4 linked regions of the Arabidopsis thaliana genome follow. The main gene of each other region encodes a partner of the protein of the gene in region 3 in a complex. Each region holds a gene or a part of one and is shown on either strand. Other genes may lie near its edges.

The links.
Region 1: MED19A (region 3) and PFT1 share a complex: the UniProt entries of both Arabidopsis thaliana proteins name them as parts of the mediator complex.
Region 2: MED19A (region 3) and AT1G23230 share a complex: the UniProt entries of both Arabidopsis thaliana proteins name them as parts of the mediator complex.
Region 4: MED19A (region 3) and AT5G63480 share a complex: the UniProt entries of both Arabidopsis thaliana proteins name them as parts of the mediator complex.

What each region holds. Positions count from the first base shown.
Region 1 is NC_003070.9:8,968,203-8,977,394, reverse strand, and holds PFT1 (phytochrome and flowering time regulatory protein (PFT1)), read left to right. Parts: upstream 1-2,579; 5' UTR 2,580-2,948; coding exon 2,949-3,052; intron 3,053-3,557; coding exon 3,558-3,588; intron 3,589-3,780; coding exon 3,781-3,844; intron 3,845-3,965; coding exon 3,966-4,096; intron 4,097-4,300; coding exon 4,301-4,504; intron 4,505-4,596; coding exon 4,597-4,662; intron 4,663-4,805; coding exon 4,806-5,022; intron 5,023-5,138; coding exon 5,139-5,206; intron 5,207-5,505; coding exon 5,506-6,303; intron 6,304-6,378; coding exon 6,379-6,432; intron 6,433-6,578; coding exon 6,579-6,607; intron 6,608-6,739; coding exon 6,740-6,808; intron 6,809-6,903; coding exon 6,904-6,988; intron 6,989-7,329; coding exon 7,330-7,416; intron 7,417-7,499; coding exon 7,500-8,003; 3' UTR 8,004-8,330; downstream 8,331-9,192. Other genes in the region: AT1G25550 (myb-like transcription factor family protein), read right to left, coding at 1-514, 607-751. UniProt on the Arabidopsis thaliana protein: Component of the Mediator complex, a coactivator involved in the regulated transcription of nearly all RNA polymerase II-dependent genes.
Region 2 is NC_003070.9:8,241,812-8,250,914, forward strand, and holds the start of AT1G23230 (mediator of RNA polymerase II transcription subunit), read left to right. Parts: upstream 1-2,628; 5' UTR 2,629-2,669; coding exon 2,670-2,777; intron 2,778-2,857; coding exon 2,858-2,901; intron 2,902-2,987; coding exon 2,988-3,087; intron 3,088-3,174; coding exon 3,175-4,113; intron 4,114-4,249; coding exon 4,250-4,492; intron 4,493-4,699; coding exon 4,700-4,969; intron 4,970-5,078; coding exon 5,079-5,280; intron 5,281-5,377; coding exon 5,378-5,649; intron 5,650-5,864; coding exon 5,865-5,948; intron 5,949-6,043; coding exon 6,044-6,138; intron 6,139-6,285; coding exon 6,286-6,448; intron 6,449-6,541; coding exon 6,542-6,958; intron 6,959-7,041; coding exon 7,042-7,155; intron 7,156-7,235; coding exon 7,236-7,361; intron 7,362-7,436; coding exon 7,437-7,585; intron 7,586-7,830; coding exon 7,831-8,071; intron 8,072-8,249; coding exon 8,250-9,036; intron 9,037-9,103. Other genes in the region: GH9B6 (glycosyl hydrolase 9B6), read left to right, coding at 1-318; AT1G23220 (Dynein light chain type 1 family protein), read left to right, coding at 803-1,033, 2,167-2,325. UniProt on the Arabidopsis thaliana protein: Component of the Mediator complex, a coactivator involved in the regulated transcription of nearly all RNA polymerase II-dependent genes.
Region 3 is NC_003076.8:3,951,949-3,958,384, reverse strand, and holds MED19A (mediator of RNA polymerase II transcription subunit 19a-like protein), read left to right. Parts: upstream 1-2,199; 5' UTR 2,200-2,476; intron 2,477-3,041; 5' UTR 3,042-3,099; coding exon 3,100-3,127; intron 3,128-3,249; coding exon 3,250-3,539; intron 3,540-3,773; coding exon 3,774-4,010; intron 4,011-4,199; coding exon 4,200-4,259; intron 4,260-4,419; coding exon 4,420-4,470; 3' UTR 4,471-4,566; intron 4,567-5,008; 3' UTR 5,009-5,245; downstream 5,246-6,436. Other genes in the region: AT5G12236 (uncharacterized protein), read right to left, coding at 103-237; CLE22 (CLAVATA3/ESR-RELATED 22), read right to left, coding at 334-645; AT5G12220 (las1-like family protein), read right to left, coding at 5,371-6,236, 6,353-6,436. UniProt on the Arabidopsis thaliana protein: Component of the Mediator complex, a coactivator involved in the regulated transcription of nearly all RNA polymerase II-dependent genes.
Region 4 is NC_003076.8:25,415,739-25,420,329, forward strand, and holds AT5G63480 (mediator of RNA polymerase II transcription subunit), read left to right. Parts: upstream 1-1,510; 5' UTR 1,511-1,578; coding exon 1,579-1,956; intron 1,957-2,210; coding exon 2,211-2,303; intron 2,304-2,636; coding exon 2,637-2,735; 3' UTR 2,736-2,897; downstream 2,898-4,591. Other genes in the region: NF-YC4 (nuclear factor Y, subunit C4), read right to left, coding at 594-1,346; AT5G63490 (CBS / octicosapeptide/Phox/Bemp1 (PB1) domains-containing protein), read right to left, coding at 2,978-3,169, 3,307-3,396, 3,495-3,580, 3,662-3,777, 3,882-3,991, 4,100-4,158, 4,249-4,354, 4,482-4,548. UniProt on the Arabidopsis thaliana protein: Component of the Mediator complex, a coactivator involved in the regulated transcription of nearly all RNA polymerase II-dependent genes.

The sequences.
Region 1 (9,192 bases), on a different chromosome or scaffold from region 3:
CGGTGTAACTCCGGTGACCAGCAACGTCTTTGCTTCCTATTCGAATGAGATTGTTTCTGCTCCTCAAACTCTTTTCCACCCCCGACGGTTTCCGCCGTGGAACTAGTTGTCGTCGTCGACGTCGGAGTAATTGCTTTAATAAGTGGTTGAGAATCTGCAGCCTTAGGTTTCTCCTTTTGAAACGGTTGAAACGCACCAGCGCTGCGTTTGACTTCAATTACCATCGGTTTCTTATTATTAGGTTGTGGATCTGGTGATTGGTTCCACAATTGAACAGATCTAAGCCAATCCGATTTCTTCTTATCACCATCGTTATTTTCATTGGTCATCATCTCAGTTTTCTCAGCTTCTTCATCTTTATCGGTTTCATCAGATGAAGCAGAACTCCACTTGATTGGCATAAACTCTTCAAACACGGCACCGCCGCATTCACTAGTTGTCCGCTCAGAACATTCTGACTGGCCGCCAACATGTTCTGAAGATTCCGATAACTCCTTCCGACATGACTCGATAGCTACAAGAATGATATGTAAACAATTAAGAAACTGGAAGCGATCGTGAAAACGAAGAATATATATATCAAAAGAGGATGTGTAATAACATTACCTTGGGTTACAAGTTCTAAACATAAAGGGAGCTCACGTTGAAAGACTTGAATCTTTTTTTGTTCTTCTTCTAGAGCTTCTACATATTCGTGACATCTCTTCATTTTCTGGGTGTAATCCATGTCACCGCTCTTGAACATCATCATTATGAACAGATCTTAGACTCGTTTTTGCTATGAGTTACAGTTACGAAAACATAAATCTTGAGAGAGACAGAGAAGAGTTTTGGATCTAAAATGAGAGAGAAAGGATAAAACTTTGACGTTTTTAAGTTGGAAGTTTTAAAGGGCAGAGAAAGAGGATTGGTGTCTAATCGAGGTCGGGCCGTCGCGTACCTAAAACCGAATCTTCTTGATGTTTAGATTTATTCGGATTTTACTTGGGAAAGGGTAGAATGGTAAATATAGGAATAGGCTGAGGTTTGTTTGATACAGGGAGAATATTCGGGGATATGTGGATTCCTTCCTTTCCATATTCTATCGAGCTGGCGATGATGTCAGCATTCTCATGACGTTGACGTTGAGATAAGAACGACGAGTCATTTTAGTCATTACTAACTCTTTCTTTTTTCTTCGGTTATTCTCTACCTATTTTAGAAATATACACATGAATTTTTTTGTAATAACAAACGAGTGAAGAAGAATATCCATAGAGATTGGAATCAAGATATGTAACCAGAAAATTTTAAACATTCATTAAATTTACAGTTTAGAATATATTATATGGTATCATATCATAAATTACATTTTTATCAGAAAAGAAAAAGATAAAGAAGTTTTTGGCAAAAGTGGAGGAATATTCCTCGAGAGTAGGGGAGAAACTAAGCTGGAAAAAAACATATTAAATTGGAAAAAATTGGGAAGGAGAGAATCTTTGGAAGAGTGACATTCACACATATCCAGATCCCCCCGTTTCCTCATGAATTGTTAAATTTTGGCCCTTCACGCTATCGAAGAGCCACCTGCCCCATATCACACCAACCTACTCGCCTCTTTTCACGCGCTTCATTGTGTGTTGTTGTGTTGTGATATATTCAAGCAATTCTCGTGAATACCTGACGATTCTAAATTGGTTGGCGACAAAAACACACACAAAAAAACACACACTATAAAACGGAATTAAGTGTCTAATTTTGAGTATGTATTCTTGAGAAAATTTCTCTAAATAGTTTGGAGATTGAGGTTTTTGTACTGTCTGCTACGGTTACCAAACTGTAGAAACTATTGTGTATCAATAATTAAATTTGGATTTTTAAGGACAATTGTAAAAGCTTATAACTAGGTGATGGATTGAGTTGTGGTAAAGTCAAATTGTTCGAGAGGTCGTAAACAGTGAGAAGCAATTTAAGGAAGATGATAATTATTCATTTGTGATGGTTTCTTTGAGTTATGGTCTTATGGATAATGTCCATGGATGTGAAGACCACCAACATTGTATTAGATAAAAAAAAACTACCACGTGAAAAGTAGTTGATTTTGGGTTCTCATGACTTCTCACAAACTCACGTTTCCATAGCATTGCATGGCAATTTACAATGTGTTGCCCCTCCCTTAGTACTACCAATACTACCATATGAACAACGATCGGGATCAGCAAAATCTATAGCTTTGTAGCCGTCTTCTATGACTCATCTCTTCCACAAAAAGTCATTGACATCAACTAGTCTAAGATGACTGACATACGAAATTGGATCCTATTTTCCACTAGGCCACTCTGAAAAGAAAAAAACACAGATAAAAAGGCCATGCGGCCCATGTCCAACTTTTGGACCAATCTTAAATGGCCTTCACAATGGTTATCATGGCCTTTATTTGATTCAAGTCTGGACTAACTACAACTATGTATACAAAATGTTTATCCACATAGCCCAAAATAAGATATCAAATTGGTTACTTTCATTTTTTTTTACGTGATCGACCTTAAGCTTGTTGTTAGTTTTGGCGTTCGATGAACCACCTCCAAACCAATTATATTCTTCACAAGATTCTCTGCATTTATCCCACAGATGGTAAACAATCTAATCAAATTAAATTCACTTCTTCACCAAAAAAAATAAAATTAAATTCATTGCCCAATTTACACAAATAAAAAGATAGTAACGACCAAGTCCTTTGTATATCCCATTTTCTATTCGGAGCATCCAAACCAAATTTTGTCAATCTAATTTATCTTCTCCTCTCCCGGAGAAGAAGGAAACTTACAATTTACAAAGAACGAGCTTCAATAAAAATTTCCAAAGAAATTACCGTCGGCGAATCGTTAGGCTCGAGAAGAATCACCAAATTCCAAGGGGAGAGAGACTGAATTTTCTTTTGATTCACGTAACAACAACGCTCAGAGACTATGTCGTCGGAGGTGAAACAGCTGATCGTCGTTGCTGAAGGCACCGCCGCTTTGGGTCCTTATTGGCAAACCATCGTCTCCGACTATCTCGAGAAAATCATCAGGTTTTTCTTTTTATGAACCTTGTATCTCTTTTAATCCTCGTTATTTGATTTTCATTCGGAGTTAGGGTTTAGCTGATACCGTTCGAATCAGGCTTTAATTTCAATTGGTTAGATCAAACCTTTGTTTATCCTCTGATTCCACAATGTTTTGTTGTTCGTTGTTAGTACTGTGTTTATGTATTTGATTGTTCTGTGTTTCATATTGAGCAATCACTTTACGTTACCTTATGGTTCCTACATTCTTTTTTTGTGTTAGGACATTGTTTTCGATACAACGCATTCATAAAGCAATGAATTTGTAGTTTCTCACTTCGATCACGTAAAATTGATATTAATATGTGATTACAGAGAATTTAGTATATAATTGCCTGTATAGTTTGTAACTAATCACATTGTTGGCTATTCTTAATATCCACTCAACATAGTATTGTATTTCAAAGTAGCGTTTTTGTATGTTAAAATTTCAATTACATAATCTGTCTATGCATTCTTTGCATTTGTCCAGGTCTTTCTGTGGCAGTGAGTTAAATGGAGAGGTACTATATCTGACTTATCCTCGTTTTTAAGTTTACTCAAGTTTTCATTCTTGAGCAAACAGTTAATCAATGTTTTTGACCAAACTCATATACATTCGTTATCTGTCAAATCATTGCGACACAAAAAATAACAGAGCAAATTGGTAGTTTGATGTGTCTGATCGAGTCTTTATATATTCACTAAACTTGCAGAGGAACCCTGTTTCTACTGTTGAGCTATCACTGGTGATCTTCAATTCTCATGGTTCATATTGTGGTACGTGTTGTGCTTCATCTTGTGATATCCAAATACAAATATTATTTGGGTGCTTTCTCATGGCCCTGGTTACATTAGCTTTTGTTTTAGTAATGTTGTTCTTATCTTTCATTCTTCTTAGCTTGCTTGGTACAACGGAGTGGCTGGACAAGGGATGTTGATATTTTCTTGCATTGGCTTTCTTCCATACAATTTGGTGGTGGTGGTTTCAATGAGGTTGCCACAGCTGAAGGGCTTGCCGAAGCATTGATGGTGGGAAACTTGATCTCTTTTCATCTGTGACACAACTATAAGACATATGTTTGGGCCACTTTCTTTCAAGCTACTTTTGACTAATTTACTTTCTCAATAAAATTAACTTTTTTCTTTCCATGGCTTCATTTTATGTGGTGGTGCTTCTGTCAGCGATTTTCTCGATCCTTAAACCTCACAATTTTCTCTGACTTCATGACACAGATGTTTTCTCCTCCTTCAGGCCAAGCTCAACCAAGTAACGATCTGAAAAGACACTGTATCCTAATCACAGCCAGCAATCCTCACATATTGCCAACACCTGTATATCGTCCACGATTGCAAAATGTGGAACGGAATGAGAATGGTGATGCGCAAGCTGAGAGTCGATTATCAGATGCTGAGACAGTGGCTTCATATTTTGCTAAGGTACTTTTTTTAACTGATTCCCCCAGGTATTACAACTAGCTATAATTACTCCTTTTAATGGGAAATTACTAACCTGCCATATTGGTGTGCAGTGTTCTGTTTCTTTGTCTGTTGTATGTCCAAAGCAGCTTCCAACAATTAGAGCACTATACAATGCGGTGAGACTGCGTGTCTATTTGCTATTCACTAGATGTACATCTATCAAAAGTCTTTCTTTTGTCAGACAGCTCTTTCAAAGGCTGTCTTTATTCTCAATGCTATAAACTGGTGTAATCTTTGTTTTATACTGTTTTAAATGCAGGGAAAGCCCAATCAACAAAGTGCGGACTTGTCAATTGACACGGCTAAGAACACATTCTATCTTGTCCTGATCTCGGAGAATTTTGTGGAGGCATGTGCTGCCTTAAGTCATTCTGCTACAAATTTGCCACAGACTCAGAGCCCTGTGAAAGTGGACAGGGCCACTGTTGCTCCATCTATTCCAGTCACTGGGCAACCTCCAGCTCCTGTGTCATCAGGTTCTTCTACTGACAACATCCATTTTTCTTAGTCCAACTATCTTGATTTTTCTTTGTGCTTCTTTGGATTCTATCCTGCTTCTCTATATGAAGATCTCTTTTTGTATGATTTTCAGCCAATGGACCTATTCAGAATCGGCAACCAGTTTCTGTTGGACCAGTTCCAACTGCTACTGTGAAAGTTGTAAGTCTATTTGATCTTTTTAGTCAGTTGGAGGAGTCAGCTCTATCTATTGGCAACCGACTCTTGTATGTTTTATAAGAATTATTTACTAGATATTAGCCGAAAATGAATTGTAAATTTATTCTCTGGTGCTTGATAAGACATTACAAATTTTTATGTGTTAATCAACTAGATTTAATGTTAAGTTCATATGAATATCCCATTTGTGAAATAATATTGTATACTCAATCAGCTTATTAGATAGCATATCTTCACATTAGTAGAAGCCTGTTAATCAGATTTTTGGAATGAAATTGCAGGAGCCTAGCACCGTAACTTCTATGGCACCAGTTCCTAGTTTTCCCCATATCCCGGCTGTAGCTCGGCCTGCTACACAAGCAATTCCTTCGATTCAAACATCTTCAGCATCACCAGTTTCTCAGGATATGGTCAGCAACGCCGAGAATGCACCAGATATTAAGCCTGTGGTGGTCAGTGGAATGACGCCACCATTGCGTACTGGTCCTCCTGGTGGAGCCAATGTAAATCTGCTTAATAATCTTTCTCAAGTCCGACAAGTCATGAGCTCTGCAGCTCTGGCAGGTGCAGCCTCATCGGTTGGGCAAAGTGCGGTTGCAATGCATATGTCAAATATGATATCAACAGGAATGGCTACATCTTTGCCTCCTTCACAAACTGTGTTTTCAACTGGACAGCAGGGAATTACTTCAATGGCTGGTTCGGGTGCACTAATGGGATCTGCACAAACGGGACAAAGCCCGGGTCCTAATAATGCCTTTAGTCCTCAAACAACGTCAAATGTCGCTTCAAACCTTGGTGTTTCACAACCAATGCAAGGGATGAACCAAGGAAGTCATTCTGGAGCAATGATGCAAGGTGGAATTTCCATGAACCAAAACATGATGAGTGGTCTTGGTCAAGGAAATGTCTCCTCTGGAACAGGTGGAATGATGCCTACTCCAGGAGTTGGCCAACAAGCGCAATCAGGAATACAACAACTTGGTGGCAGTAACAGCTCAGCTCCTAATATGCAGCTATCACAGCCATCATCGGGGGCTATGCAGACTTCACAATCCAAATATGTGAAAGTCTGGGAGGTAATGTCAGTTTATCTTGTCTAAAATAACGGTGATCTTGTGCTAACTTTTACTTACATTTTCAAATTCATGCAGGGAAATTTATCTGGGCAAAGGCAAGGGCAGCCTGTTCTTATCACCAGACTTGAGGTGTGTTTAGGGGCACTTACTATGCACTTTTCTTTCCCCTTTTCTGAATTTACTGGGATCACATGCTTAAGCACATCTTCCTCTGTAGAACTTTGTTGAATTGTTCCAAGTAGATATTAACTAACGTCTTTGTTTATATTTGACAGGGTTACCGAAGTGCTTCTGCCTCTGATTCGTAAGTTTATAACTAATTGAAATATGAAAACTGCTTCCTTACTAAACCTTGTCAGGAGAGCAGTCGACTCCTTAAGAAATGATTGTAGCTGCTAAACTAATTTTTGCTTTCTCTTTTTGTGCATCTCCCCAGGTTGGCAGCAAACTGGCCACCAACTATGCAGATTGTTCGTCTCATATCCCAGGACCATATGAATAACAAGTAATATCTTCGTGCTATATCCTTCCTTATTCCAAATGGCTCATGGGTGGATGTTGATTTCATGCCACTAAATATTTCACCTGACTTTGCATCAGGCAATATGTTGGCAAAGCTGACTTCCTTGTGTTTCGGGCCATGAGTCAACATGGGTTCTTAGGACAACTTCAGGATAAAAAGCTTGTGAGTATTGTTGATAATTTATGCCACTTGTCTCCTTTTCCTTATTGTTTCACTACAAATTTAATAACAAAATGATGAATGGTGTTTACTGGTTTATTAGATATTAGGATGAATTAGATGTTAAGAATGAAAATCTTTGAAAAAATATATGTACTTACATCTGTAAACATGTTCTCGGTGAATCTATCAATCTCTTGCTATGTTCACCATACACTTAACGATGCCTACGCTTGTATGTAGCCTTGTTTTGATTAGCCTAATCGTGTGCCATACTATTGTCATTTTCACGCTTAGCTTTTGTGGAGTTGTATATGATAACTTTGTCATCCTCCGTATTGCAGTGTGCAGTCATCCAGTTGCCATCACAGACGCTTCTTCTCTCTGTCTCTGACAAGGCTTGCCGCTTGATTGGAATGCTTTTCCCAGGGGTAAGGAAGTACTAAGTTTAAGGTGTCTATATATGTTTTGCTTCACATTAGTGACTCTTGAGGGTTGTTTTGTTTACTCCTAGGATATGGTTGTGTTTAAACCACAAATTCCAAATCAGCAACAGCAGCAGCAACAACAACTCCACCAGCAACAACAACAACAACAGCAGATCCAGCAGCAGCAGCAACAACAACAACACCTCCAACAGCAACAGATGCCACAACTCCAGCAACAACAACAACAACACCAGCAGCAACAGCAACAGCAGCATCAATTGTCACAGCTCCAACATCATCAGCAGCAACAACAACAACAGCAGCAACAACAGCAGCAGCATCAATTGACACAGCTTCAACACCATCATCAGCAGCAGCAGCAGGCGTCGCCGCTGAATCAGATGCAGCAGCAGACTTCGCCGCTCAATCAGATGCAGCAACAGACTTCGCCTCTGAATCAGATGCAGCAGCAACAGCAGCCTCAACAGATGGTAATGGGTGGTCAAGCTTTTGCACAAGCCCCTGGAAGATCACAACAAGGTGGTGGTGGAGGGCAGCCTAACATGCCTGGAGCTGGCTTCATGGGATAAATAAAAATATCAGCTTCAGTGCTAATTAATTAGATTTATCATAACTTAACATTCTTTCTTTCTTCTTTGGTCAACTCGATCGTCGCCATGGTTTTAGACTCTGTTTAGTTGTCCTTTCTGTTCTTTTGAGCCTGAAAATGGCATGTCCTATTCTGTATGGGTCTGACCATTTAGCTACGGCACCAAACTATTTTGTCATTTTCTTAAGATAAATAGAAAAAAAGTGGATGATTTCTATTTTGTTGGTGTTTCTATATGCTGATAATAACTTGTTATCTAGCTTTTTATTTGATTGACAAGGAAATAAAGGATCAAACCCATTTCATAGTTGGGTCATGATTGGACTTTGTGTTTTATTTGCAGGTAAGAAATATACATTTCTATTAGAAAAGGTTTATGGTTGATAGTTAAACAAACTTATCTAAATATACCATTTCCAACTGCATATTGCATCAGAGAATTACTTGCTCAAAATTACATCATTGACAAACTAGGATTTTTTAAATCTTTTAAGTTTAAATTATCATCATAAATCAAATTTCATTTTGAAAACCAAGAAAATAGAAACCCGTAAACCTTACACAAAAATGCTTCTCATGTTGTTGTAGCTGTTTTCTTATTTTTCTCTTTTGGAACAGATCATCTTTTGTTTTAGTTCCGATAAAGTCATAAGTATAATTTGGAACAAATACTGTTATCATAACATCCTTGAAATTTAGAAATAAATTATAGCTTGACCACCAAAACTATTTGATAAGTTGTTGTCTAGAAACAAAAGCATAATTATTAATATTTTGATAAGACGTAGTAACTATGACGCGCACTAATTCGAAATCGACAGTGCTTTTTGGAAATCAAAGACAACAAACATGACTTCTCTTCGATTTCCACTCTAGCTAGAGCTCACTCATTGAGTCATTGTTCGAATCGAGGTGAGTAACTTTGAGGTGGAGGGTCCCTTTCACGTGGCACATAAATATGGTAAAACTTTGTACCAATTTCAAGCCATGATACGATTCATCGCACCCGTAGATTTTCTCCATCGAATCATCATGAGAACAAAATAACCAAAGTCCCTTTTCTTAAAAGATGAGAGACCGATAGAAATCAAAGAAAATGCCAGCACTGAACTTTTTCTCTAATTTTTTTAATCCTCCTAAGCTTAGACTTGAGAGTAATGCACCATTAA
Region 2 (9,103 bases), on a different chromosome or scaffold from region 3:
TACATACTAGGAGATAATCCAATGAAAATGTCGTACATGGTTGGGTATGGTTCGAGGTTTCCACAGAAGATTCATCATCGTGGCAGCTCGGTTCCTTCAGTTGTGGACCATCCTGATCGTATAGGGTGCAAAGACGGATCTCGTTATTTCTTCAGCAATAATCCTAATCCTAATTTGCTAATTGGCGCCGTCGTTGGTGGGCCTAATATCACCGACGATTTTCCTGATTCGAGACCTTACTTTCAGCTGACTGAGCCCACTACTTATATCAACGCACCTCTTTTGGGCCTACTTGGTTATTTCTCGGCCCATTATTGATTTCACACCTCGAACTCGAACGAAGCATGAAAGTCTATTTTTGTTGTGAAACATTTTTAGTTGATTGTTACCGATTAGTAGATTCACTAGATTCTCTAAATCTACGAACAAATAATTGTATAAATTAATCGAGTACACAATAATCAATTTTTAATCATATGGGAGTTAGGAAAAACAAAGAGTAATAATGAGAGAAAGGGGGAGACAAGAGTAATTAATATTTTGATGACCAAACTAATCAAAAATCAGGAATTTGTCTTTTGGACTTTGGTCGGCTGCTTTACGCTTAACACAAAAGAACGCTATTTTGTCTCCTCCACGCAATTACCTCTTCTCACTCTCAGACATTTTGTCAAACAGATGGTGCTCGTTTCTGAATCAGCTTAAGAACTAACAAGGAGACAGACACTAAGCTTGGTTTTTCTCTCCGATTAGACGGAGGAAAAAGTGAAAACGAGGGGCTTAGACGAGTGATGTGATAGAGATGGAAGGAGTTGAGCTAGAATTAGAAAGAAGAAGCAAGTTCTTGAACAGTTTGATACAGAAGAAGAAGGCTAAAGAACAGCAAGATCAGAAAGATGAGTTCAATGTTCGTGTTAGGGCTTCAGATATGCCTTTGCCTCAACAGAACAGAGCCTTTAGTTTGTCGCGTGAGATTTTGAATGCTACTCCAGGGAAGGCTGATAACAAAAGACTCGCTCATGCCCTAAAAAAGGTTAGATCTTTTGTATCTCTCTCATGATTTTTCTGTATTTGGGTTGAATTGGAGTCATTGAAGTCTAGTACTTGGATTGAGTTTTGAATTTTGACACAGAATCTAAAAGTATTGAGCTGCTTTTGGGTTCTAGGGCTACGTCTCAAAGTCGCATGCTTTTTGTAGAATGTGGTTATGGTCTTCTCTTTCTTGATTGGTTTGAAGATGTGATGAATCTTGAATTTGGATTTTCGTTTGTGTACTTGCATATTGTTGAACTTCATGGATGGTCCCATATTTGTTAGGTTGCATTTGACTTTGTTCCATTGTTGTTGTCTTTTCTATTTGTAGCTTCGGTTAGTCTACTTGACTAGGTTGTTTTTGTATTGCGAGGATAACTGTAGTAGGAGTCTCGTTGTGAAATGTCTTGAAACTGGATGTTCTTGTTGTTTATTGAGATGATTTTGGAGCTGTCTTAGGCCATAACTAATGAGGCATAGCATGCACCATCTGCTAAGCTTCTGTATCTTTGCTGTTAGAAATTAGTTGCTACCTAATGATAACTCTGAAGCATGCTTGCTTTAGGAAGTGAGCCTTGCCTGAATACAACCTTTTACAAAGGACTTGGTTCGACACCCCATATATAGAGTTGTCCATTTATGCAGTTGTTTCTCGTGAGGATATTGTTCCTTCTTAAAGCGGCTTTGATAATTAGCTTTTGATTTTAACTTATGGAGCGAAATGGAGCAGTTCCCTCAATTTATGCGACTAGGTAGAGGCATTGATTGATCCATACATTGATTTTATGAAGTGGTTGAGTAAAACAATTTAGTGTTCACTTATCTGTGTGCAGCTTACTTGTTTGTCTCAGTGTTCATCAATCTCTTAATAATGGCTACCTCCCTTTGGCTTTTAGGATTGACATACGAGTCAATTTCTGCTGTTGTCTTGTTTTATCTTCTTGTTCTGGTAATATAGATCTCTTATCTCGAAATAGATCTTCATATGTTTCTTGTCTCTATGTTTTCTCCTAAATCCAGCTTCTATGTTATCCACTGAAGTGAATCTTAGACTCCCATCTGTCTAATGACATGTTGCAGCTGATTTAAAACTATATATTCACGAAACAGTTTTCCATCTGTCTTCCATTTCAGGACTTCGATTCAGCCTACGGCCCGGCATGGCACTGCATTGTTGGAACAAGCTTTGGTTCATACGTGACTCATTCCACAGGAGGATTCCTATATTTTCAGATCGACAAAGTTTACGTTCTTCTCTTCAAGACTGCCGTGGAGCCGTTAGATCAAAAATGAGATAAAACGTTGATGATCAGAGCATCTTCAATTTAATCCTTTTCTTTTAGAATTCTCTGTCTTGTATCCCACAATGTAATTCTGCCTAAGACAAAATCTTTGTGGCTCCTATTGTGTAATTAGAAGTCATCTTCTCTACTGTGAATCGTTTCAACTTCACAATGCAAAATATTGTTCTTCTCTTTCTCAAATTCTAATTTTGTTTTTTTCGTTGTTGTGTTGTTGTTGTTGTTGACATTTTCTTCTCTTCAAAAGAGCTTTAAACCCAAAACCTCTAATACCAATTTTGCTCCTCCGTTTTATAAGCATCAAAGAAAAAAAGAATCAGTGAAGAAGAAAAAAAAATGGATCAATCGCAGCGAACAGTCGCTGCAACGCCATCGTCTTCTCGATCGTACCAATTCCACCCAGCTCGTGCTGCAATTATCGATCTTTTCAATCTCTACTTAGGGGTTGGTTAATCTCTTCTCCAATCTCCCAATTTTTTTCATCGAATTTTGTTTCTCTGCTGATTTTGCTTTCTCTATCACAGAGAGGAAGCCGTCAAAAGCCTGATGAGTCCCTCCGAGATCCCCCGTATGTTGTTTCTATTGATTCTGAATCAACTCTTGTTTTCTCTTCCTTCTGTGTTTGATTTTATCCATGTTGATTGTTTTGATCAGGAACAAATCACAGAAGCGTGTTCATGCTCCTAATAGAGACTTACCACCAAGAAACGAGCAATTCCTTTTGGATTTTGAGCTGCTTCAGAGCCAATTCAATGTAAAGTCTCGTTTTTTAACTATCTTTATCTTTCTCTTTGTGATTTCGTAAGATAAAGTTTTTTTTTTTTTTCCAACTCTTTGTTAGGATCCAGAGCAATTGAGGACGATTACTGAGTCAGTTTTGATATCTCTGGTGGTGCAATGTAGCAATCATGCGCCTCGTGCTGAGTTTCTACTCTTTGCTTTGCGTACATTGTGTAGGATTAGTTATATCAATTGGGATACTTTTTTACCATCCCTTCTCTCTTCCGTTTCCGCTGCTGAGGCGTCGTTAAGCCAAGGTGTTCAAGCAGCAGCGGCAACGGCTGGTTCTTCTGCTACTTCTTCGCAGTCTGTAGTTCCTGTGTCTGTGAATCCAACGTCATTGCTGCCTTCAGCTCATGGTATTGGTTCTCCATCAGCTTCAGAGGTGAAATCTGTGGAGAATGGGCAGCAGATTGCAAGAGCTGGCCAGATTGTAAGAGAGAATGCTATGAGAAATAGTCAACGGATTAGAGCTGCTGCTGTAAACAGTCTGCGTCAGCTCAGTTGCAAGATTATCTTGATTGGCGTTGAATCTAGTCTCAAACCCGTTACTCATGCCGAGATTTTCCAGTACATGATGAATTGGCTTGTTAACTGGGACAGGAGAGATCTGGGAACTGAGGACTCTGTAGGAAAGTCGTGGAGATCTGAGAAGACTTTAGCTGAATGGTTGCGGAGTTGTTTGGATGTGATCTGGCTGTTGGTAGAAGAGGGTGAATCTCGAATTCCGTTTTATGAGTTATTGCGCAGTGGTCTACAGTTTATAGAGAACATACCTGATGATGAAGCCTTGTTCACTCTTATCATGGAGATACACCGGAGGCGAGATGCGATGGCCATGCATATGCTCATGTTGGACCAACATCTTCACTGTCCATCATTTGGTACCCATCGTATAGTCTCCCAAATAACTGCCAATGTTCCACCCGAAGCTGTGCCACACTTACGACATTCACCAATTACATATCCAAGTGTGCTTGGGGAACCTTTATATGGAGAGGTGATTCCTATGAAATTGTGGAGATTGGTTTCATAGCTTAGTTGGCTCTTGTTGATATTGTGTAATGTATACGCTTTTCATTAGGCAGACAATTTGTGAATTTCAATCCTCTCTTCTTCTTTTTCGACACCGGCAGGATCTGGCGATGTCTATTCCAAAAGGAAGCCTGGATTGGGAGAGAGCAGTGCGTTGCATTAGACATGCTATTCGCACTACACCGTCACCGGACTGGTGGAAGCGTGTTCTTGTTGTGGCCCCTTGTTATAGACCATCTACACAAGCAGGGCCTATCCCTGGTGCTGTATTCACTTCTGACATGATTTGTGAGGCAATCATTGACAGAATTGTTGAGCTTCTTAAGCTGACCAACTCAGGCAATGTTTGTCTTTCCCTATTTCTCATGTCTTTGATCTGTCACTTCCATTTAAATCTGTGGAAATTATTTTGAAATAGCAAGTGGTTTTGCTAGTCGTCACAATCTGTAAAGAACCTACATCCTTTACGTTTTATTCTAGTTCTATAATCGTTGATTCGTTAGGCTTAGATAGAAAAGATAAAAGTAAGAGTTGAGATACCATTATACTAGGATTGCTTTGGTATTGATTTGGTATCTGTTACTTTTCCCCCTCTCTATGCAGATGCAAATTGCTGGCAAGAGTGGCTGGTTTTCTCGGATATATTCTTCTTTCTAATCAAAAGTGGGTGTACTGATTTTGTTGATTTCATTGACAAGTTGGTTTTACGCCTTAACGGTGTTGATAACCATATTCTTCGGACGAATCATGTGACTTGGCTGCTTGCACAAATAATACGCGTGGAGCTTGTGATGACTGCTTTGAACTCAGATGCTAAAAAGGTCGTTACTCAATTACAATGATATGTTTGCAGCTGCAATGCAATTACTTGTACTTCTTTTTCGGCGAATTTAACATCCCAATTTGTGCTCTATTTGGGTTTTCTCTCAGGTGGAGACTACTAGGAAGATCTTATCATTTCACAGGGAAGACAGAAATTCTGATCCCAACAATCCTCAGAGTGTGTTGCTTGACTTCGTAAGCAGTTGTCAGAATCTACGGATTTGGTCACTAAGCACAACAACTAGGGCATACCTAAACAATGAACAGCTGTTGAAGGGAAAACAGATCGATGAGTGGTGGAGAAGCAAAGGTACATAAGGTTTCAATGGCAGGGCTTAGACTAGGAAGCAGAGAATCCCGATTATAAAAAGCATCCTCTCATTCTGTTTCTTGTTTGGGGTTGTCAGGAGAGCGGATGATGGATTATATGAATATGGATGATAGGTCGATTGGCATGTTTTGGGTTGTTTCCTACACCATGGCACAACCAGCATGTGAAACAGTTATAAATTGGCTATCTTCAGCTGGCATGGCTGAGTTACCGGGATTACAGCCAAACGACCGAGTAATGATGACGCAGGAAGTTACCCCGTTACCTATGTCATTGCTATCTGGCTTTTCAATGAATTTGTGCTTGAAATTGGCCCTTCAGATGGAAGAAGCTTTGTTTGTTAGCCAGGTTTGTTTCCTTTGTCTCACAAAGATATTATATATGTTAATTGATACACTGATCTATGAAGAACATCTTCTTTGGTCATTTTTACTTAGTGACCTATTTTCTCCACGGTTTAGTAAAACAACTTTAGCGTTTTACTTGTTTAAAAATGTTAATAGTAGATTTTAAAAAACCTGAGAAAAATGAATTTAGTGTCGTAGTAAAACATCTGAGTGCAGGTTGTTCCTAGCATTGCAATGGTTGAGACATACACAAGATTGCTTCTGATTTCCCCTCATTCGATGTTCCGTTCACATTTCAGTGTAAGCTATTTGGTTCCTTCTGTTACCTTTTGACTTTCATTATCTTATGTTTTATTGATCATAAGCGATTCATAAGATTAGCTAACTTTCTGTAGCAATTGGCCCAGCGAAATGCTTCTCTGCTAAGCAAGCCTGGAGTGACGTTACTTGTTCTTGAGATTCTGAACTATCGGTTGCTGCCACTCTACAGGTAAAACGAGCGAAAAGTTCTCAAGTTGGAGTAGATCCTTCTTTATGTTTTAACTGGGTCATTCTTTTAGTTAGATGACAATTGTTTCGGGCTTTCGCCATATTGGCTGTTAGACCCGACTAAACAAAATTACTGATCTTATTGCAGATACCAAGGAAAGAGTAAAACTTTAATGTATGATGTTACTAAAATAATATCTGCATTGAAAGGAAAACGTGGTGACCACCGTATATTCAGACTAGCTGAAAACTTATGCATGAATCTCATTTTATCACTCAGAGACTTTTTCTCTGTGAAACGGGAGGGAAAAGTAAGTGGTGTTTTCGAATTACTCACTGTCCCCCTTCTTATTTTGTGCCTGGATCTCAGGTGTAAATAATTGTTCTTATGTTATCATCACTAGGGGCCAACTGAATTCACTGAGACGTTAAATCGCATAACCATCATGACTCTTGCTATCACTATCAAAACACGTGGTATCGCAGACCCTGATCACATGGTTTATCTGCAAACCATGTTGGAACAAATACTCGCGACGAGTCAGCATACATGGTCAGAGAAGACGATGCGGCATTTCCCATCCCTTCTCCGTGAAACTTTGAAAGGACGGGTAGACAAGAGGGGCCTATCAATTCAGGCATGGCAACAGGCTGAAACAACTGTGATAAACCAGTGCACTCAACTTCTCTCACCATCTGCTGAACCCGCTTACGTTTCAACATACCTCAGTCACAGTTTTCCTCAACACCGTCAGTATCTATGTGCTGGTGCTTGTCTGCTGATGCAAGGCCACGCTGAAAACATCAACAGCACAAATCTGGTTTGCTTTGCTTAGTCTATTCATAATTGTGAAATGATTGTTTGTTGATAGTGGTATGATTTTCTCTTCCAAATGATTATCAGGCACGAGTTCTGAGAGAAGTTTCTCCTGAAGAAGTCACTGCTAACATATACACTTTGGTCGATGTTTTGCTTCACCACGTTCATGTAGACCTTCAGCAAGGACAATCTCTAGAGGTTTCTGTCTGCCAGAAGAGATTAACCTCACTTTTCGTTGCTTGATCCATCTTCTTACATTGCATCGTAATATTTTTTAGGCAGTTCTAGACAAGGCAGGCGCAAATCTTGCATTTTTCTTCTGGACACATGAAATGCTTCCTCTCGACATTTTTCTTTTGGCGCTCATTGACCGTGATGATGATCCTCACGCCTTGATAATTGCAGTATGTTCATGCTTTTACGTAAAAGAAGCTTAACATCATAGAAATTTTACAGTGTTGTTTTCAATTTATTTACAGATGAGCCTACTTAAAACGCCAGACCTTCTGCTGAGGATAAAAAACTACTGCCAAAACCGTGGGTCTCCTGAGCACTGGCTTGTCACACAGGTGTTCAAACGCAATGAACTCCAGAAGGCCCTGGGTAACCATCTTTCTTGGAAGGACAGGTAATATATCCAATTCAACATCAGTGTAACTGATTTCTAACAACAATTTCACTTAAGTACATGGCTTTGATTGTTTGATTGGTTTTGTTGGCATCCAACCATAAATGTGTGATGGAACCTTCCATGAAAACTTGTGTATGACTAGGAAATAGTTGAATTTTGGTTTGATCTGTTTTAATTTTGGTGTTGGATTCTGCTAAAGTTGGGTAAATGTTTTACCTATTTTTTTATTGTGTTAAACGCAGGTATCCAACGTTCTTTGATGATATTGCAGCGCGTTTGCTTCCAGTTATCCCTCTAGTGCTTTACAGGCTCATCGAGAACAATGCGATGGAGCAAGCTGATAATCTTTTGCTTGCACACTCGCATTTTCTAGCGTATCATCCTCTCAGATTCACGTTTGTCCGTGATATACTAGCCTATTTCTATGGCCATCTTCCTGGGAAACTTGTTCTGCGCATGCTCAAAGTACTTGATCTCAGCAAGGTAATTGAAAACAATTCCCGATCTTACATTGATTCTGAAATTGACCTCAAGTTGATGCCGCTTTTGGATTTTAGTTTAGAGATTTTGTTTCTCACCAATTTATCTAGATACCTTTGTCCGTAATCGTTTCCACATTCGATTAAAATGGAACGTAACAAATCTTTTGACATTTCCGCAGATTCCATTCTCTGAATCATTCCCGCAGTACATTAGCCCTACCGGTGCACCTGTATGCCCACCTCTAGATTACTTTGCCTCTCTTCTGCTTAATCTCGTAAACAATGTTATACCTCCACTTAGCAGCAGCAGCAACTGCAGCTCGAGGTCTGGCTCAATGGCAGACATCTTAAACAGCTCAGCAAGACCTCCTCATGGAAAAACTCCAGGAACATCTCAGCCTGGACCAGCAAACGCCTCTGAGGGCCAGAAAGCATTCTATCAGATCCAGGACCCAGGAACTTACACGCAACTGGTTCTTGAGACAGCCGTGATCGAGATCCTCTCGCTTCCTGTCTCTGCTGCTCAGATTGTCTCTTCGCTTGTCCAGATAATTGTCAACATACAATCGACTCTGATTCAATCTGGAAACGGGTTCCACGGCGCTGCCAACGGGGTGGGACAAGGGTCGGTACTGCCAACGTCTCCCTCTGGAGGGAGCACAGACTCCATGAGCGCTAGCCGGTCCACTTGTCTGATTCCTGGTATCAACACAGCGAGCTTTGTCTCTAGAAGCGGTTATACATGTCAGCAACTGTCGTGTCTGTTGATTCAAGCTTGTGGACTTCTGTTGGCTCAGCTCCCTCCAGATTTTCACGTACAGCTTTACTTGGAGGCAGCACGTGTGACAAGGGAAACATGGTGGCTTAAGGACGGGAAGAGATCACAAGGTGAACTAGACTCAGCTGTTGGATACGCTTTGATGGATCCTACATGGGCTGCTCAGGATAACACCTCGACCGCCATAGGTACGCTATAGTTTCTGGATCTAGAAGTGAAATGTTTGTTTGGATTTTGTTTTTACATGTGTCTTCT
Region 3 (6,436 bases):
TTATCATTATCAAGATATTCACACACACCACACGAATTCCACCAGCTTCATATTCAAAAACAAGGGTTCCAAAAGATAATTATGCGTGTTATCGATACACTATTAAATCAAGAAAACCGAGAAGCAGTAGTTACTATTTTCAAAGACTCGTTGTTCAACACTCTTCAATCTCATCCCACCACATAGAACACATAAGTTACAATCACGGCATATAACGTACGATATAGTGTATATCATCAGTGTAAGAAAAAAAGTAAATAAATATGTTTTTTGTGTTTGCACAAATGAGTTTTATTCAGACAAAAATTCACAAAAACTTGTAAAAGCAAAAATTTATCTATTGTGCAATGGATTAGGACCTGTGAAGACCCTTCTCTTGCCATCTTCAAAAACATCTTCACCACCACCTTCATAATTAGTATATTTTGATCCTCTTGATGACGCAGCATTGGAGTCAAGATCATGAAGCTTTGGATCCAAATTTCCAGATTTCTTCAAGCTTCCATGAGTTGAGTGATGATGTATATTAGGAGAAGACGATGAAGCTTTAGCGTAAAGAAACAGAAACAAAAGAAGAAGAAGGATGATCAAGGCAACTGTAGTGATGTGTTTCCTAGATTTTCTTCTAGAGTAGTAATTTCCCATCTCTTAGGAATCTTCAAGATATGAAGAGTTTCTCTATAAGGTATAGATTATATATTTAGAATCGATTTTTGCAAGTATAAAAGATCTGATCAAGATCTCTTAAATAAATTCTCTCTCAAAGTCTGTAAGAATGAGAAGAGAGGAATGAAAGTGATGGAAGAAAAAGCTATGGGGCTTTTAACCTATGACTTCCTCTAAAAGTTTGTTGCTCTCCCTTTCTTATTCTCCACCACTTTCTACAAATAAAGAGAAGAGAAACTAGATAGAGGTTTGTAAATATATATATCATTAATTTTTAACGAAAGTTTTTTTTGTGTGTTGAATCATTTCCAAAGGTCTTAGCTGGGATTACTAGGTCAAGTGGTAGTAATTAGTGTGGTTAATAATATACTTATAGTGGTTAGTTTTAGAGAGTAATGAGGGTGTGATAATAAAGCATATAGAGGAAGGTAATTATGTGAAGGGGGTCAAAAGTAGAAAGAAATAGAAAAGAGAGAAGAAGGGGCCAAAAAGGGAATTGGAGTGATGATTCTAAGACTTAGCTTTCTTTGGGGAAAATGATGTTGTCTTCACTCCCTTTTTCTTCACCCACATTTACACTCACTCACACACATGAAAAAATCCACTTACCACTTGAATCTTCTTCCTCTCCATTTTATATAAATGTTGTATATCTATATTTGCTTCTCGTTTTTTAGTCTTTCTAAGATTACTTTTTTTTTTTTAATTTTACTTTATTATGAGTTAAGAAAGAGAATAAAGAAAACAGTATCACAAGAACTAAATTACATACATGATACATATATGGATATGATTCTCCAATATGCATCTTCTACCTTCGATAAACGTATTTACAACTTGTGCAACAAATGTTTTTAAGAAATCAAGCTGAAAGTTTATAGAAGAAAAAACAAAGACTTACGTCCAATATTTGTCAAGAAACACCATATGTGATATGTACCTCAATATATCCTCATCAGTCATCACGTTTTTATATATTATATTCCCATTTATTTTACAGCAGACAAATCATCATTTACATAGTAGAGAGCAGGTATACAAACTCAAATCCCCAAAAATACCATTATTCCATTTTGTTCTCGTCAAGCACTTTGTCTCTGATGTTATATCAGCAAATATACACGTATGTATTCATCGTATGTTTCATCTTAAATTGTAGAAGATATTGTTAGGCATGTCTCGATCGGATTAGACCTGTCCGACCAACCCAAAACACTGAAAACTTACATTATTTATGTTTTGATAATTTTCGGTCTTATAATGGTTTTTTAGAATAACAATTCATGTTTTTCACTCAAGTAAATAAAAAATATAGAAAGAGATAACAATCTAAATCGGATATAAATAGTCGTGGATATTTTTGTTTGGATAAGAGTACCACCGGTTAAAGAGAGATTCATTACTCGGTTCGAATACGGTTTAGCTAATGGAAGATCCTTGATTTGTCTGGTTAAGTGGGCCGTGTTGAAGGAGCGCGTGAAGCCCACGCGGAGCCCTTGAATAATAATAAAAAAAGGCTGACTGTAATTTGTTGATTATATTGAGAGAGAAGCCAACGGAAGAAAACAGAGAATAATTCCTCTCTCATTGGTCATCAGACACAAAAGACTCTCAAACCCTAACTAGTCTCGCTTTTTCGCTCTCTCGAACCTTCTTCGATCTCTGTCCTTTCTCGATCACTTGCTAAAATCAAAATTTTAGGCGGGAATTCGATACCCAAGCCCAAGACCCAAACACTTCCCCCCTCACGTTTCGCTGCTTTCGTTAGCTAGCTTTCTCAAACGAGATCTGGGCTTGTCGAAAGAAACGTGTATGTTGATTGTTTCGATTCTTTCTCCTACCAATTGAATCTGAGATTTTGGTTTTGCTATTGGGCTCTGTCTTGTTTCGTTTTCGAATTCCAAATTCCTCAATTTCGAATTTCTCTTCTGCTTGAAGCTTTTTTATCGAGTCTAATCTTCGTTTCTAGTGATTACTTCGCTTGTCTGATTTTTTTTTTGTTAGCTTCATTCCTAAATAGAACAAATTGATGAAACTTTCTTGTTGACTAGATCCAAAATGTATGGACTTGGTATCTAATTTTACTTTTACAAACTTCCGAAAACTTTCTAGGGTTTTGTTTCTGATGCTAGTTTCATTTTTTTTGAGCTTGGAGCAGAAAAGTTGAGAATTGATAGCATCTAATGCTAAATTAGATTTTCTTACTTCTTAGTTTTGGTCACTATGAAATATGAGCTGGTGCTTAGTTATAACTTTTGTATTGTTTGTGCTACAGAATTGTTAGTTTAGATAGTATCGAAGCTGAATTTGCTTTCTGTAGTAGTATTATTTCCTTATCACTCTATGCTTTTTCTGATTTTTGTTTCCTTGTGTAGGATATATATGCAGTGAGCCAGTGATCATGCAAAAGAAATTCAGAGTGCGATAGAGAAGATGGAGCCTGAACGTTTAAAATTTGGAGGTACATTGGTTTCGAATTTGGAGCTTCTTCAGTTCGTGAAGTTATTTTTTTTGTAGCTCGTTGTCCTTTGTTTTCCCCTTTGGCTCACCTTGAGGTCAATGTGTTGTTTGTTTCAAGTGCAGGTCCAAGAGAGTTGTGCGGTGCTGCGGATCTTATATCTCAATTCAAACTAGTGCAACACCATGAATTCTTTTGCAAGAAATCTCTTCCTGTTTCTTTATCAGATTCCCATTATCTTCATAATGTGGTTGGGGACACAGAGATCAGAAAAGGAGAAGGAATGCAATTAGATCAGCTTATTGAGAGCATATCACAGAGCCGGGAGACTAATATTCGCATCCAGCCTTTTGATATAGATGAGCTTCAGGAGTCTTTCCAACTAAATGATATGACTCCTGTTGAATTACCCCCAGTAAGAATCTGATCTTTCTCACTCTCTCTTGGTGTTTTGAGTTTTAAATGTCCTTCTTTTCATAAGAGTAACAGTATTTGCCATTACATTGAACTTAAAAACTGGCTCAGTAATGAATGTCCTATTTCCTGTAACATCAAGTTCTTTGGTTAATTGAGAATCTTTCCCTAGTAATGTGAATTACATCTGGGTGTCCTATGGAGATGATTGACCTTGGTACTATTCTTCTTTCAGGCAGAGAAGGGAGCTCCTACAATTCCGTCTAAGTCAAAAAGTGAGTCGAAAGATAGGGACAGGAAACATAAGAAACACAAGGACAGGGATAAAGACAAAGATAGAGAGCATAAGAAGCACAAGCACAAACATAAAGATAGAAGCAAAGATAAAGATAAAGACAAGGACCGAGACAGAAAGAAGGACAAAAATGGCCACCATGATTCGGGTGATCATTCTAAGAAACATCATGATAAGGTAAAGAACATGTCTGTTTGTTGAAGGTGTCTGTCTTTCCAAAGAAGAATAGCTTAATGGAAAGTTTTGTATTTGTTGCTCTTGAGTTAGGCTGCTTTTTTGACCTGCTTGGCATGAAATTAGCAGATCTAGAGACTGCTCTAGAACATTTTATTGAGTTTTTATGGAGCCTTTTCACTTATATTTCAGAAAAGGAAACACGATGGAGATGAAGATCTTAATGACGTTCAGAGGCACAAAAAAAACAAGGTAATGGTAATGAAGTGGGGCCTCAAATTTTTCTCGTTCTTCATTAACACTCAACATGAAATTTCCACCATAATGTTTTTTTTGCACAAAGGTGCTAGAGAACTAGTAATATGTCTTTGATAAATTGTATTGATTCAGCTCTTGATTGAACCTGTTGCAGCATAAAAGCTCAAAGCTTGATGAGGTGGGTGCAATAAGGGTTGCTGGCTAAAAAAGTTGTAGACATTCCAATTTTGTATTCTGCACTCGAGTAGGTGTCATGGAGACTTTAGAAGCACTTTTCAACTCACTGTAGACAGCTTATTAGGTAAGCATCTGTGTACTGTCCTGTCTCTTTTGTACAATTTTTTCGGTGTTCTTGGTATTCCGGGATCCTTCATAGAACATATACATCTGTTATAGTCCAGATACTATACTTTAGGGGAACTGAACCCATAATATTTTTAGGCAGATACTTGAGTTTTGTGTTGTATTCTTTAAGTTACTGAAATCCAAATAACGCAACATTTGCAAGGGAACATTGTATGTGTCTCTGTGCGACTTCTGTATTGGTATTGGATTCTTTTCTGGTCTTAAGAAAGTTGCCGTGATACATAACTAATGAAAATCGGGTAACCTGTCGAAAGAACATATCAAAGATAGGATGTGTTTCTAAATAGAACAGTCTCAGCTAACACAAATCATTGCTTACATTTTTGTTACTTTCTTATATTTTCAAGTTGTGTTGAACAAAATGATTGGCTTTGTAGGTTAAAAGCCCAAACTGGTGAATTCATTCCTTGAAGAAGAAAGGGGAAATTTGTGAAATGAAGAAGAAGAATTTAGTATCATAATTGATTTGGTGTCAGATTTGTAACATTTTTCTTGGGGTGTTCTATTCCATCTCTTTTCTGTCTATATACTCAATACAACACAAATCGTTACTATTCATGTATAATAATTTACTTACCAATTGATGTTGTTGAAAAAGTAACTGTCAAATCCACTTATTTACTTTTACTTGAGTGTCACAATGTCTATCTGTCTGCGACTATGCCTGTAAAAATTGATCAAATATCTGAACTATTTTCTCAAAAATATGTCGGATTATATGATTACATCTGTCGAAATCTCAAACACAAATTGTAACACTAGAAGCCATCCCCGAGAGTTCTCCATCATTTACTCTTTTCCATTCACCATCTATCATAAGGCAGCTTCTACTTTCCTCTTCATCATTCCACATCAGATTCTCTTCTGCTACAGTTTCAGTTTCCTCATATGCATGTTCTATTTCCATCTCAGCTTCTTCCTCGTATGATTCCAATGTCACATCATTTGATTCAGAATCTCCTGCACTCTTCCTTGCTCGCTTGCATGGCGATTTCTCCAATTGATTTCTATTACACTCAGCTCCTCTCTTCGCATTGTTGTTACCTTGTGCTTGTTTTGAGATGCTCTTAGCATTCTGATTGTCAAGAAGAGGTAAACGTCCAGAAGATCCAATGATCCGAGGCAACATACCAATTGGACAAGGGCTCCATGTTTTTGCCTTTCTCCATCTGTTACCGGTTTTGTCTGTGTCAATACCTTTCTTCTTTGAGAGTTGAAGTTTGACGAACTCAAGTCTCTTGCCTGCATTACCGAGATTCTTCTCTTGCTCAAGGAGCGTTGTACTAGCTGTTACAAGAGTAGAACTCTGTTTCAATGGAACAATTGCAGAGCTTTTATGCATAAGAGGAAGTTTTATGAGCTTCTCCTTTAAGACACGGCCTCCCACAATCTCTGCGAGTAGAAATGCTGATTTCAAAACCAGCTCATATCCTAAGGCTCCCAAGACAAGACATCTACGTATAAGTTCCATAAGGAAAATGCTTGGAGGTTTCACTTCTAGAGAACTGTTTCTCTGAAAATGCTTTGATCCATTGAGAAGACTCACAAGCCATGCAAACAAGAAAGGGACCTGCTCAACTTGAGAAACCTCTTCCACTGGCTTTTCTGTAAGATGCAAATTTAGATACAATTCATACATGTTAGAAACGATCTGAAAACAATTTAAAGTTTCAACTGAGGATCCTTAAGAGAAAAAGCATTTAGGATAAACCAATAGTTACCGGTTTCATGTCTTCTCCGTTCATTATTTTGGATCATATCAAGGACTTCCTTGAGTAGAGTCAAAAGTAACTCAGGTTCTCTAT
Region 4 (4,591 bases), about 21 Mb from region 3:
CAAACTCAATATGCCATACATAAGCTCTGATCATTACTAGATTAGGAGCAAGAATCAACAAAAATACAAAGCATAGATTAGAATCTGCACATTTAGATTAATATATAGTTAAGCAAGTCTGCAGTTTTGCTGCAATAACTTATAAGTTAACAGGAAAAATGAAAAAGAGCTTTTTTGTTTTGTTTTGTTTGATCTCTCTCTCTCTCTCGAGTAAGTCATTCGAATCATAGACATATAAGAATCAGACACTTGCAGGGTCGAAATGATGATTAAATCTCTAAGCTTCTGGTTCCATAGCTCAACTGCACAACATTGTACAAATAATCAAAGGTGTGAGTCAAATCAAATAATGGATATCAAAATTGTGTATTTTACAAAGTTTTGTTTATGAATCTAAAGAAATGAGCCAGATGATACTGTAAATTGAGCTTCTTTGATATTATCAATTTTTAGCTTATTTGATGAGAATCAATGAAGATGACACAGAGCAGCAAATTCCTCTAAGACTAATCAAAGCAAGCTCATGAAGAATCTCAATAACCATAGATAATCAATTGCAACAAGCTACATTGCTGAATATTACTAGAATTCACTTACCCTTGGCTATCGAGATTACCATGGCCGCTACTTCCTCCACTTCCATAAGACACATCATCACCACCACCAGCTGAATTCTGCCAAACGCTTTGCCATGCCTGAGAAGGAGGCTGAGCATAAACACCGCTAGGATCCATCGCCGGTCTTCCAATCATCATCCCTCCAGGAACCGCCGGTTGTCCCATCGGTGGATAATAATAAGGAACACCGCTCGCGGCGGGAGCAACCATACCTCCTCCACCAAGAGCCGATGCTGCATCTTCCTCTTCCTTGATCTCTTCCCTAGGAACAATATCAACAAGGAAATCGAAGATATCGGTTCTAGTAATCGCAGCAGCGATATCGTTTTTCTGAAGCGTACGACGTTTGTTCTCTTCAGCGTGAAGCCAAGATCTAATCGTAAGTTCGAGAATGAAAAGCTCACAAGCTTTCGCGAAGAGAATCGGTGCTTCGGCGGAGATCATACGCACATCTTCATCAGCTTTCATGATTTTTTTGATACGAGCTAGAGGGAGCTGATGGTTTTTGAAATCGTTTACCTGTTCGATCTCTTGTCTCTGGTATGTCCAGAACATTTGAAGCTGTTGCTGTTGTTGCTGGAGGAGGTGGTGGTATGTCGCTCCTCCTCCGGTGACTATTGATGCAGATCCAGATGGTGGAGGAGGGATTACGGTTGTGACGGCGGAGCCAGGTGGATAGACGGAGGTTGGTGGTGGTTGCTGGTTGTTGTTGTTGTTGTTATTGTCCATTGGATCTTTGCCTTGTGATTGGATCAAAAGATCAAACTAACGTTTTAGATAGTTTTTGTCATATGGATTGGAGTAATAGTGGATAAGGTAGACAGCGATGTAGCTGATTTCTTTCTATTTTTATTTATCTATAAAAACTATATTATTGATATATATATTATATAGTTTGATTAAAACGACATCGTATTAATAGTTTAGTCAACCGACGCCGTGATAAAGTGTGTTCACGGTGATGCTGCAGAAACAGGTCTCGACGACGACGACGATGACGACACAGGAGCTAGCGATGGAAGGAGAGAAGCAATTGGAAGAAACTATTGAAGCGGCGTTTCAGATAATTTCAGCCATGAATGATGAGCTTTGTAATCCGTCTTTGTGGTCTACTTCAGCTACCCCGAGTTCCGCCGCGACGACGACGGGTTCTAATGGTTCGGCTCTCGTTTCCGCCGATGCGGCTGCGATTGATGGAACATCGCATCATTCGGAATCTGCTGGTGGTGGCGGGGGCGGAGGAAGTGGAAATAGTGTTTTGGATGAGGCGAGTCTTCGGTATAAGAACTCAGTGACTTCGCTTCGTGCTGTTCTTGCTGCGATTCCAAATTCGCAGAAGGTATTGAACATAATGTGATGTTACTAACTATTTCGAGAAGTGTTTTGTTCTGAGTTGTTTCTGGACTGAGGAAATTTTGAATTCCTAGGGTGTTTTGAGATCTTAGATTAGGAAATCTTCGAATCGATAGAGAGTTTAGATGAAGGATCTAATGCTTGTTGAGTGTCTTGTTCTTCACTTGTAGTGAACTTGCTTAATTTTAAATGAGAGCTTTTTTGAGGTTTCATAAATTTGAATTTGTTCATCTATTACAGGCAAAAGCATCTGAAATGCAAAATGGTTTAGGATCTCCTGAAAGTGAAGACGAGATCGAAAAATTGGAGGAGCAAGCCTTAAGTCTCAGAATGGTAAAGCTTTCTGCAATTTCTACATCTCTTTGTTTTCAATCTGATGTTACTACATTGATACACTATTCAGTCTCGAATTCTCTGTACATTTCAACTCACATAGCATTGAATTTGATTCATATTTTCTTGTATAAAGTGTTCTTTCCCACTGTCTAGTGTAAGTGTTTGTATCATTATAGCTTAAGCGGTTCTAGAACCATGGAAATGTTGATAATTTTTTGAATACATTTCAGCCATCTGGTCATTTTGATTTCTATGTTAATAACCTTATGGGAAGTGATTATATTGTTCTTCTCTGTTGGCATTAATAAACGGAAGCTTTTGTTCATGCAGGAGATTGCAAAGAAGAATGTTCATGTTAAAGAACTTATAGATAAACTTCGGGAACTTATAGCAGATATCTCTACATGGCAAAGCCCTTGTTCTGTTTGAGTTTTATTTTTTTGACAATAGTGAGATCAGTTTAGACAAAGATTCTAAGCCTTGTTCTTGAATTACTCCATGTATTAGTTTTAGATATTTGTTATTTTGATATCATGAAGCCAAAAAAATAATCAAAAATGACTTTTGTATATAAAAATATTTCAGACAAAACCTTCAAACCCTGTGTCTGTTTTTCTTTTTTGTTTGTATTGATCTGTTAAAGAAACACTTCTTGTAGTGTTTCTGAGGAATCAATGACCGAATTTTCTGAGAAAAGCCATAAAACCAAGACCAGCTACTAATGCTGCACCAGCCGCAACTCCACTATAAGCAGCAGCCCAAGCGTCTGTCTCTACATACTCCATTGATTCTGCTGATCCTGATGCTCTTCTCCTTCTTCTTCCTTTGCCTTCTCTTGAATCATCCAAATGTAATCTCAGACTCTGCAATTTATAATGATCAAATCAATTCAGAAAGCAAAAGGGGTTTATGGGCAATCTCATGAAGGTTTCATCTTCGACTTTGGTTCTTGTTGCTTATCAACCAAAAGTTTAAAGCAGGAGGAAATCGTTCTTTTTACCTTCCAGCCAATTGATTTTGCATGCTCTATGGCTGCTTGAAGGTCACTATCTGAAGCCAACAACACTTTATCGTGGTCTTCATCTTCATACTGCACATTATAACCATCATTTTAACAATTCAGGGGGTGACAAGAGAAGAATTAGATAATGATTGCATCATAGTCTTTATGTAAAAGAAAATATTTACCAAAATTTGGGGGAAGTTATCTGGATCGATATCATCCCCTACCCTCTGAATGATCGCGGTTATCACCTCTGTCAAACTCCGAGTGTCTGCAAAAAGAACCAATTCAGTTAAGTAAAAGCAAGACTACAACTATTTACTTGATGAATAAAAATCAAAATTATTTTTACCGCTTATGAATCTGTGTTTCCTGTGCTTTTTGTCTTCAATTTTGAAAGAAAATGTATTTGCAAAAGGGAAAGATTTTCCTGTCTCAGCTTCGGAAGCAACCTTCATGGAGCTCTCACTGAAACAAATTGTTCCCCATGTTGTCAACAAAGTCAGCAAAACCAAAGCTTTCTTTGAAAAGAAACTCGATAAATAGTGGAACAAGTAAGACTAGCTAATAACCTTCTCGAGTCCTCATCGTCCTCATTAGGAGACAATGCCATAGCTGAATCCCAAAACTTTTGCATCATTGTGTTTGTCGCCTCATTACCTATTCCCGCAGTAGTTCCAGCCTGAACACATCAAAATAACTACAAGATTGAAACATGTATCTAGAAAAAAGAGAACAGTGGATGTTCTAAACGAAAAAATTTACAGACGGTTCAAGAGATGGGAGTTACTGTGGCAACAGCAGCGTGAGTGACATGGATTACATCGACAACAGCAACTACATCTCCTTCTGCAATCAGAAACCCATTTATGGTTTACATGCGTTTGCCTTTTTAGTTTTTGTAAGACTTTACAATTGAAAAGGTTTCAGAATTCTCACCTTTGTCAGTAACGGGAAGGTGTAAGAATTTTCCCTCGTGCATGATGTGTAGAGCTTCAACAATTGGTGTGTCAACTATCGTAGATTCTGGATTCTGAGTCATAACCTATGCATTAATGAATACGAACAAATGGTTAAATTCAGGAAAAAGGAGCAACTATCACTAAGCTGGAAATAAGAGTCTAAGATGGTTGAATAATACAAGACCCTGGAGACTAATCTTTTAATCTTACCGTTTCCACTAGAGTCTCAGATGGAGGAAGATTTTCAGCCACAACCCGCATCAGTATATCCTTGGAACTAGATAAATGAAAAAACAGAACTCTTGAAAGTTAGTGATAAT